Linked DNA regions of Rattus norvegicus. The protein of the gene in region 1 purifies or fractionates together with the protein of each later gene. This does not show direct contact. Links are inferred from orthologs where the notes say so. Each region holds a gene or a part of one and is shown in the gene's direction. Other genes may lie near its edges.

Region 1 (5,434 bases):
GCCTACGCGCTGAGCAGCCACTGCCCCGAGATGCGCGCCAGGGTCGCCATGCACCTCGTGTGCCCCTCGCGTTATGAGGCCGCTGTGCCCGACCCCCGAGAGCCTGGGGAGTTTGCCCTGCTGCGGTCCTGTCAAGAGGTCTTTGACAAGCTAGCCAGGGTGGCCCAACCCGGGATTAATTATGCACTGGGGACCAACATCTCCTATCCCAATAACCTGTTAAGGAATCTGGCTCGAGAAGAAGCCAATTATGCCCTGGTGATCGATGTGGACATGGTGCCTAGCGAAGGGCTGTGGAGAAGCCTAAGGGAAATGTTGGATCAGAGTAACCACTGGGATGGCACAGCCCTGGTGGTGCCTGCGTTTGAAATTCGCCGAGCCCGCCGGATGCCGATGAACAAGAACGAGCTAGTACAGCTCTATCAGGTGGGCGAAGTCCGGCCCTTCTATTATGGGCTATGCACGCCTTGCCATGCGCCCACCAACTACTCCCGCTGGGTCAACCTGCCAGAAGAGAGTTTGCTGAGACCTGCCTACGTGGTGCCCTGGAGGGACCCCTGGGAACCGTTTTACGTGGCTGGAGGAAAGGTGCCCACATTTGATGAACGCTTTCGGCAGTATGGTTTCAATCGAATCAGCCAGGTACTTAAAAAGGAGAGGGCATGTGGGACTGGAACTGGAGGTATGTCAGGGATGGAGTGGCCATTGGTGGGAAAGAGGCAATGAAGCAAGAAGATGGATGGTGTAGAATTGAGGAGGGTGGAGTGACACTTTAAGGATGATCATTTGGGCCCTGGGGATATCATTAAGTTATTATGATTAAATTATTATGACCTCTCTCTGTCTCTCTCCCTCTCTTCCCTCTCCTCTCCTCCATCTCTCCAGGCTTGTGAACTGCACATGGCAGGGTTTAATTTTGAGGTGCTGAACGAAGGTTTTCTGGTTCATAAGGGATTCAAGGAGGCATTGAAGTTTCACCCCCAAAAGGAGGCTGAAAACCAGCGCAATAAGATTCTTTACCGACAATTCAAACAGGAGTTGAAGGCTAGGTACCCCAACTCTCCCCACCGATGCTGAGTTCTTTCCTTCCACGGTCTGAGAATTTTCAGCATCTGGCGCTTCAGGCCTGACTGGGGTAAGAACATGCCTCCACTTTACAGAGGTAGCTGTGGTTTTGGAACACTGGACTTGACTATGAGGTGCTGGGAGCAAGTCTCAGCTTTACCACTAACTAGTAGGGTGGCCTTGAGCAAAACCTGTTCCTTCTCTGAGCCTCCATTACCCCGTCTGTAAAAAGGGAGGTGAAAATACCTACCTCACAGAACTGTTGGCTCAGATGAGACGCTGTATGTGAAAACATCCTGTAAACTTCGTACAAATGTGAAGTATTAATATTGCTACAGTGTTATTATTATGATATTGTTATTATTAACAATGTTGGGTGGATAGCGGCAGAGCAAAAAGTATGAATGGGCTAGAGCTTGAGTATTTAATAAAATGAGCCTTTTGGAAAGATGAAAACATAGAACGTAGTGCTCAGAACTGGCGTAAAATGTAAGCTTCCTCGTTCTCTTCATGCCTGCGCCCTCCACCCTCCGAGCTCCAAGGAGGAAAGGGTCTGTAGGTCCTGGGGGTTAAAAGTCCCAGCTCTGTGCCCTCCTGGAGGTCGGGCTACTCATTTGCCTTCGGATGACAGTGTGTAAATAAACGAGTGTTACACCCACAGCTGGCTCTGTTACTCTCCTAAGCTGAGGGGTGGTGGGCCAGAGTATCGTGTTATATGGCGGTGGACCCAAGGACACAGACCACAATGCTAGGACAGGCTGAAGGCCTGGGACTGTAGGCCAGTTGCTATGGAGACCCGTCCGCCGTTTCCCGGCATGCCTGGACACCAGTAGTTCCATTGTAAGCTCCACAATGGGCGCCTTCTGATGACGTACACGGAAGCGTCGACACCTCCTGGAGAAAGAGGGACCTGCGCAGCTCTCTTCGGGAGACCAACGGCGGAGCGTTCACCTGTGTCCGACAGCTCTCCGGGACCGGAGGCCCCAGTCTCTGCGGTGCGTATGGCCACGCCTAGCGCTGGGTTGGGCTTCCCGGGTCGGAGTCAAAGCAGAGACTTAACCGGCCCGGCTCGTGCTGGCCTGAGAGGAGCCGGCGGTTCTGAGGGTGGATCGGGGTTGGACGGTCCCTTGCGCCTCAGTTTGTTTCCTGTGTTTGTAGGGAGGGGTCCGCTTTCCCTGGAGGTTTGCTCTGGAGGTGCTTATACGTTTGTAAAGAGAAATCTCATGTACATCGCACTTTACCGTGTGCCTCTTCATTCCCAACAATCCTCAGCAATGGTATATATCCCCTATTGTACCCGGGTTAAGGAGGGACGGTTGTGACTTCATTTAACGAAGTCAGGATCAGAGTCAGCTGGAGGAAGGAGATCGTTGAGTTCGCCCTGCGTCTTAGCAAGCATATATACCACGGTGAAAAGGAATTGTTAGTGAAGGGGATCTGAGGCTTGAGAAGGGGAACGGTGAGACTATTTTGGAGATCTGGATTTTAGAGCAGGAGGGAATGCTACTTAAACTCTCCTGCAGCTCCGGCACTATAATTACTTGAATGGGTGTGAAGGAGCGTTGGCACCACTCCAAGTAGGGCTACCAAGAAGTAAAACTCAATTCCTGTACCGCAAAGGTTTGTTAATTTGTGTTTAGAAGTCTTGGGTCGGGGTTGGGGATTTAGCTCAGTGGTAGAGCGCTTGCCTAGGAAGTGCAAGGCCCTGGGTTCGGTCCCCAACTCCGGAAAAAAAAAAAAAAAGAACCAAAAAAAAAAAAAAAAAAAAAGAAGAAGTCTTGGGTCATCAAGTGAGCTGGTACTGCACTAGGTGAATAGGACAGATTGCAGCCCCTGTCCTGATGAAACACCCACATTTCACTGGGTGGACGGACATGAGAATGGGAGAACATGGGACAAAAAACCTTCTGGGGGAGGCACGGGGAAGACTTACAGAGCAGCAACCAGAGATGTAGAAATAACACCATTTACACCAGTGTGAACTAGAAGCTTCTACATCCAAGATGGCTTATTCTCTCGGGTGATCTGGCAGCATCAACCTCTCATGTCTCCTTCATTCTGAAAATACCTTCCACCCCAACTTTAGGATTTTTTTTGGGGGGGGGTTCTTTTTTTCGGAGCTGGGGACCGAACCCAGGGCCTTGCGCTTCCTAGGCAAGCGCTCTACCACTGAGCTAAATCCCCAACCCCCAACTTTAGGATTTTCAATCTGCTCTGCAGAGGTTTCTCCCCCTGCCTCCTTTGTTGACCTTGAGAATTCCAGCAAAGACCCCTTGTCACGTTTCTGCCTGAATAGTCAGACTACATTCAGCCTAAACAACTTGCCAAATGGAGGTGGTGGAGCCTAGGTCTAGTGGAAGCTTGCATACCTATGTCCCCGGTCCTTTTCTCACATCTAGGTCTTTGTACTCTGCCGGGAATGTTTCTCTCATGTCAGCCTGGTCCTCACCTAGTCTGTCTCCCTCTGGAAGCTGTCACTGTAGCAGCAAGCTCCAGATCCTGTGTAAACACCTCTCCCATAACACCTTAGTTTGTCTCTCTTCACACACACCGTTATAAAGGTCTGTTTCTTTGCCTTCCCTCCCAGGAAGTTGTTATTTCCTCGAGGCCAAAGACTGACTGTCGTAGCTATGGTATAGCATCTGCCACAATCCACAGTGACTGTTGGTACCAGGCATATATTAAGTGTTTAGTAAGCTAAAAGGTGGGTGGAGGGACTTAGCAGTGTTTAATGTTTCTGAAAGAGAAAGCTCACCTAAGGCAAGCACTGAAAAACAGCGTTTGCTACAAGGCAGTTGATGTGTAATTCTGCCACAGTGGTTTCACTGTGAGTGCTGGATATCCAAATGCTGAAAGTCAGAATAGCAAGTGTGCACAAGGCCTGGAGAACTGTAGGAAATTAAGTAAACCGAGCCAAGTTTCATATTTCTGCATTCATTCTTTTACCTACTTATTTATTTATTTGAAATAAGTAAGTTTTTGACACGGCCTCACCAGCTATTGCCAGCCTGAAACTCTGTATAGCAGGCTGAGCTTGAATTTGTAGTAATTCTCCTGAGTGCTAAGATAACCACTACACCTGGCTTTATTTTTTTATTTGTGTTTGTTTTTTCCAGAGGGATCTAGTCCAAGTGCCTCTTTAAGCAGCAATTCTACCACTGAACTATACCCCTGACATACTGCTTTTATTTGCTTTTGTTTTAAGACAGAGCATCACTATCTAACCCACAATGGCCTAGAACTTGCAGACCTGCGTCAGGATGTGGGGGGTTGGGATTATGTGTATGAACCTCATCAGGCTCTTGTTTATTTCTTTCTAGTACTGAGAGTTGAGTCCAAGACCTCATATAAGCTAGAAACATTATCACAATTCTCTGCTCCCCACTACTTCCACCCCCCCAATGGCTGTCCTGGAACTCCCTCTGTAGACTAGGCTGGCCTTGAACTCAGAGTTCCACCTGCCTCTGCCTCTGCCTCTGCCTCTGGAGCACTGGGATTAAAGGCATGTGCCACTACCACCTGGCCTCTCTCTCTCTCTCTCTCTCTCTCTCTCTCTCTCTCTTCTTTTTTTAGATTTCTTTTTTTTTTTCTTTTTTCTTTTTTTTGGAGCTGGGGACCGAACCCAGGGCCTTGAGCTTGCTAGGCAAGTGCTCTACCACTGAGCTAAATCCCCAACCCCAGATTTCTTTTTTTATATATGTGGGTATGCTGTAGCTGTTTTCAGACACACCAGAAGAGAACATCAGACCCCCATTACAGATGGTTGTGAGCCACCATGTGTTTGCTGGGAATTAAACTCAGGACCTCTTGGAAGAGAAGTCAGTGCTCTAAACCACTGAGCCATCTCTCCAGCCCCTTCTGTTTTCCCTTAATGGTAGAAAAACCTGAGCACATCTGAATTCCCACATGGGAAGGTGCTTCCTGTTCACGTCCTTAGGAATGCTAGGGACTTAGGGTATTGCTCAGTGGTAGTTTGGGCTCAGCATTTATGAGAACCCAAGTTCAATCCTTAGTCCTTCACCAAACAAAATAAAAACCTGCGTCAGGATCATTTATGAAGAAGGGGACTTAACTGAATGGAGAGAAACAAGCCTGTAGTCCTGTGGCTTGGACAACAGACCAATTCTCAAAAACAGCTGTGAACATTGGTGAATGCTGGCTTTTCCAGCATGCTTAAGAATCTGAGTTTAGCTGAGCAGTAATGATGCATTCCTCTAACCACAGCATTCAAGAGGCAGAGGCAGGCAGTTCTCTGTGAGTATAAGGCCAGCCTGGTCTACAGAGGAACCAGAGAAACCCTGTCTTGGAAAAACAAGAACAAAAAAACAAAAACAAACAAACAAACAAAAAAAAAAACAACAAAACCCAG
Region 2 (5,482 bases), on another chromosome or scaffold:
CTTCTCTAGGCTCTGGTTGACTCCACTCCACTGCTGTTGCTATTCTTGGTGATCATCCCATGGCACTGGCATCTCCAATATCCTGGGGTTTTTTAACTGCAACTAAGCTTCACCTCTCAGGCTCTCTTCATGATGCCAAGCCTCAAATCCTTTGCATGATCCCTTTGGTCCTGGGCCATCAACAACTGAGGCTACACCTTCATCAATGGCCTTCCATGGCCTCTCACAGTGCCAAGCCTCAGCTGCTCTTCATGACCCCTTCATACCAGCACTACCTGGGTGACGCTTACACGTTACCAAGTCCAGCATGAGGTACAACATTTGCTATCTCTGGAACACAGCTTCTTTGTACTTTCAGAAAACACTTCCCAGAAGATATCACCTCCAGGATGCTGATCTCTTCTTAATCACTGCTAATTTCTTAATTCCAGCTAACCAGCATCTATTGTCCCAGTAATCCCTTCTATTCTTTAAAGCCAGCCACATAGCCAGAGCTGCTGGGTTCTGCTGCTTGTTGAGGCTGGCCCTTCCTTATTCTATTACCAGCTTTCTGTTTTCCAACTTCTTCACTGCCTAAGCTTAGCTGCCTGTAACTTGCTCTGTATTGTATATTTATAGACCTTGAACTCAGAGATATGCATGGCTCTGTCTCCTTAACACTGGGATTAAAGGCATGTACTACCATGGTTGGATTTTTTATTTATTTATTTATTTATTTATTTATTTATTTATTTATTTATTTTTATAGGAGTACACTATAGCCATCCACAGACACACCAGAAGAGGGCGTTGGATTCCATTACAGATGGTTGTGAGCCACCATGTGGTTGCTGGGAATTGAACTCAGGACCTCTGGAAGAGCAGTCAGTGCTCTTAACCTCTGAGCCATCTCTCCAGCCCATGGTTGGATTTAACTACTCGGAATTTGCTCTGTCCCAAGCTGGTCTTGAACTCAGAGATCTGCTTGGCTTTGTCTCTTTGCATTAAAGGTATGTACTACCATGCTTGGACCTAAGCTTTTCATGGCCTCTATTCCTCAAGATCCAGATCAAAAGCCTGTGTCTTTCAGTCTCAAGATCTGGATCACAAGTGTGCCCTCCATACACAGATAACATGGATAACTTTTATTTTTGCCATGTTGATATATACATACATATACATACATATATACATACACACATATATGTACATAGTCACTGAATTGACAAAATCTTAAAAAGGCTTTCTTTCAAAACTCCACCTGAAATGCATTATTTTTGCTTAATCAGTAGGATTGCTAAATAGTCCAATAATTAGCAGAGGTGCAGGGTTGGCATGGCCACGCCCATCCCTCCACCCCGCCCACCACAAGCGCAGGCAAGAATACACGCTACGCGGGCACAAACACGTACCCAGGCGCGCACGCGCGCAAACTACCCCACCCGCGACACACATAAGCGCACACACATGCATATATATATGACTCAAGAGAAGAGGGTTCTCCGTCCTCGTCCTCTACAGCCAGCGCAGAGAAGTTTTTGAGGAGCAGTCAGCAAAGGTGATACTAGTGTGGTTCCTTTAAATGGTCTCAAATCCTCTTAGATCCTTTTGAAAGGGATCCAAGCTGCAGTAGAGGCGACAGGCAGCCCAATGCCTGTCAACCGGTTGGCACACGAGTGTACCGAGGACCTGACACGCTCTAGAAATCAGCTGCGGCACGGAGATGGAGACGTAGGACTCTGCGCCTAAAGAGCTCTAGGTAGCGCGAGTTTTTCCATAAATACCAACAGCCCGTAAACTTTTTCTCACTTAATCTTTACTAACCCACCACACACACACACACACACACACACACACACACACACACACACACACACACATATTTAGGCTTCTTTCTAGGAGTCAGCTGGCGGTCTGAACACTAACTTTGCGAAGAAACAGGAGCTAAATCCAGCCCTTGCTCGCATGACAGTACAGAGACGAGAAAACACGGTAAACGCCTGACCTCACAGTCAGATTTGCCCAGTGCTTGGAATAGAAAAAAAAAAAAAAAAAAAAAAAAAGACCCACGGGTGGCTCGCCGCGCGATGCATGCTGGGACGAGTAGTTTGTCCCGTCGGTCCCGCACGTAATCAGAACAGAGCGCAAGTTGGCTCCGCGACCAAGAACTACCATTCCCGTGGGGCCTCGCGGCAGGGGAGGGGCGGGGCCGGAGGAGGGGCGTCTCCCTCGCGCAGGTTCTGGGGCTAGAAGGAGGCGGAGAAGCTTCGGTCCAACTGCTGAAGTCTCCATGTGACAGTGAGTGGGGTCCCGTTTCTAGGCGCCACTCCAGTCCTGATCACAGTCACAGGAACGGGCCGCTATTCCAGCACCGGCAGACCGGCAGGCTTTGGACTCTGGGCGTCGGACCGTGCGGCCGCCAGACTTGGGGTGCGGAGTGAACGGCCGCCCCGGGGAAGGAGGCGGAGCGGCGCGGCGAGCGGGGCTCTGTAGCGGCGCCGGCGCCCCCGAACTGGCAGACATGAACGGCTTCACTCCGGAGGAGATGAGCCGAGGCGGGGATGCGGCCGCCGCCGTGGCCGCTGTGGTCGCTGCTGCAGCTGCCGCCGCCTCGGCGGGGAATGGGAACGCTGCCGGCGGTGGGGCAGAGGTACCCGGTGCCGGTGCGGTGTCCGCTTCTGGGCCACCTGGAGCGGCCGGTCCGGGCCCCGGGCAACTCTGTTGTTTGCGTGAGGACGGTGAGCGGTGCGGGCGAGCGGCAGGCAACGCCAGCTTCAGCAAGAGGATCCAGAAGAGCATCTCCCAGAAGAAGGTGAAGATCGAGCTGGATAAGAGTGTAAGTGGCCCCGGGACCGCCCTGCCCTGCCTTATCCTGCGTGCCCTGCCCGATCTTTGGCGGGGTTCACGAGTCTCTGAGACTGGGCTGCAGGTGGGATTAGTGGTTCTCTGATTGAAACAAAGTCCCTGCAACTCCGGCCACCTTCCCCCCAGCGCGCGCTCGCGCAGTGGTGCGGGTCCCCTCCTCCCCTCACCCGGACTCCCGCTGCCTCGCGTGTCTCCCACGCCAGGCTTCCCTCTTCCTCCTTTGCTGCGATCTGGAAACGAAACAAAGGGGACCGCGACACCAAGTAGTTTTCTCGCAGCCGTGTAGTCCCTTCTGGAATGGAGGCGCCTTTGTTTTGCTGCCAGAGCCGGTGTCTGCCCCAGGGAGCAGCTCTGTAGCTCTGTTCCTCTAGGGAAAGTAGAGTCTGGCTGGATCCCACAATGCTTCTCTCTCTCTCTCTCTCTCTCTCTCTCTCTCTCTCTCTCTCTCTCTCTCTCTCTCTCTCTCTCTCTCTCTCTCTCTCTCTCTCTCTCTCTCTCTCTCTCTCTCTTTCTCTCTCTCTCTCTCTCTCTCTCTCTCTCTCCCCTTCCTTCTGCCCCCCCCCCCTTTTCTTTTTCTTTCCTCCTCGGTGTTCTCTTTCTCTTGAACACAGGCAGGGAAGCCGAGCTCACCAGTTGCCTTGCAGAGAGATGGTTGTAAACGGCGTTTGCGGTGTCAGCTCTTCGGGCAGCTGCTCTGAACCAAGGCTGCAAATAAGCCTCTGCGGTTTTACAACCCTCTCGGCAGCCATCGGGATTTCTTTTTCTGTCTTTATGCACGTCTGCTGTTTTGGCCAGCTATGAGGTTTCAGAGAATTCCACTACTACTTTTCAGAGCTCTGACTGATGGCAAAGGAAGAACAAGATACAGAACCTCCACACATCCTGTATATTTTTAACTTGCCCTTAGCTTAGAAGTCAATTGAAAAGCCTGTTCATTCGGCCTTTAATTGTAGCCTTAAAAGCGGGGAGGGGGAGAGTGTCAACCAGCTCAGTACTTTCTATCCCACCGTATATAACTCTCAAATGCCTGAGTAATTACATTTTTTTGAAAAGTTTATTTGTGATTCTGTTTGGGCAGTTTCTCAGTAGGGTCCATGAGAAACTTTGTAAGTGAACGTGAATAATTTCAATTTGCTTTAATTGAAAACAACATAATACAGTGAAATGCATTCATTTAATTCTTGAAAAGAAACCTTGGGGCTTGAAATTTAAACATAGGATATGAATATGAATTCAATGACACATTCGTAAAAAAATGCATACTTTGTATCTGTGTAGAATTTGACTATCTAATTAGAAAGATAAGGAAGCATATGTGCCATTAATATAATTTGCTGTTCTCAAGTTAGAGAAAATACTAACAAGTACAAAATTGTGGGCAATGTCACCTCTCCCCTTAAGTCAAAACCAGCAGGAGCTAACTTATTTAGGTCACCCTCGATGCAATTTGGTGACAAAACACAGAGGATTGGAATTTCTCTTCCTCTGCTTGTCTGCCTGCCAGGTGCCTGCCTGAGTTCTCCAACCATTCTTCCTACCAGCCCATCACTTTCTACTACACCCCTCCCCCAATCTCCTTAACAGTATCACAGATTGCTAATGTTACAGCAGTTTAGTATTGGAAAGAAACATGCATCCTCTTGCCAGTGCCATTAGACTGTTTTTAGTGAGCTGCCTGGGCCTGTGCAGTTTACTGACCTTAGTTTTCTGGACTCACAGTCTTTTAACCTTTCTTTGTCCTTTCCAGGCAAGGCATCTTTACATTTGTGACTATCATAAGAACCTAATTCAGAGTGTTCGAAACAGAAGGAAGAGGAAAGGGAGCGATGATGATGGAGGAGACTCACCTGTTCAGGACATCGACACTCCAGAGGTAGACCGCAGGGTTTTCTATAGTGAATTGTCAATCATAATCACACTGGCAACTCCAAAACCGTTCTGTAAATATTTAACCATTTAAAGCATCTGAGAAATCTCAAAATTAAATACAGCCAGTAAGTTGGCTTTATATTAATATTAAATCTCAGATGACAGTCTTATAGTTCTTGATATACAACTTCCCCTTTTATTTCTCCAAAAGTTTATAATATGTATTCCCCAAAGATGGAATTGTTTCATAAATTACAGGTCTGATTTTGTAAATGAAGTCATGTGAAGTGCCATACAGATCAGTGATATCTTTTTAGCAGAGTGATCTAATTCATGTTATTTTTTTTCTAGGTTGATTTGTACCAATTACAAGTAAATACACTTAGAAGATACAAAAGACACTTCAAGCTTCCAACCAGACCAGGTCTAAATAAAGCACAACTTGTTGAGGTATATATAAATATGCTTTATACTGGGAAACAATCCTGTTTACAGCAACAAGGTATCACTAGGTGATGATGAAATAGAGAAATGCAGTATACTGAATAGTACATTACATGCAGTAAAGTCAAAGTTAATAGGCCTATCGTGGAAGAGTAGAGATCTTTAGAAACATCTGTCTGCCACTGAGAAAAATCTCTTCAGTGAGTACTCAGTGGATTATATTCAGAGTATGTACAGCGTCTTTTAATAGTGATTTTTAGAGTAAATATTCAATAAGAAATTTTTATCATCGTTCTAGAATTCTGTTTTAAATTTCTAATTATTC

Evidence for each region.
Region 2: the proteins of Brms1 (region 1) and Sap30 purify together in Homo sapiens (affinity purification with mass spectrometry; 3 studies listed by BioGRID and IntAct, with this or other methods). This does not show direct contact. The link is inferred for Rattus norvegicus from reciprocal best matches to the Homo sapiens genes BRMS1 and SAP30.

The regions. Positions count from the first base shown.
Region 1 is NC_086019.1:211,773,144-211,778,577, forward strand, and holds the start of Brms1 (breast cancer metastasis-suppressor 1 homolog), read left to right. Parts: upstream 1-1,998; 5' UTR 1,999-2,060; intron 2,061-5,434. Other genes in the region: B4gat1 (beta-1,4-glucuronyltransferase 1), read left to right, coding at 1-642, 886-1,077. UniProt on the Homo sapiens protein: Transcriptional repressor. Down-regulates transcription activation by NF-kappa-B by promoting the deacetylation of RELA at 'Lys-310'. Promotes HDAC1 binding to promoter regions.
Region 2 is NC_086034.1:37,756,267-37,761,748, forward strand, and holds the start of Sap30 (histone deacetylase complex subunit SAP30), read left to right. Parts: upstream 1-2,227; 5' UTR 2,228-2,500; coding exon 2,501-2,815; intron 2,816-4,591; coding exon 4,592-4,717; intron 4,718-5,064; coding exon 5,065-5,163; intron 5,164-5,482. UniProt on the Homo sapiens protein: Involved in the functional recruitment of the Sin3-histone deacetylase complex (HDAC) to a specific subset of N-CoR corepressor complexes. Capable of transcription repression by N-CoR.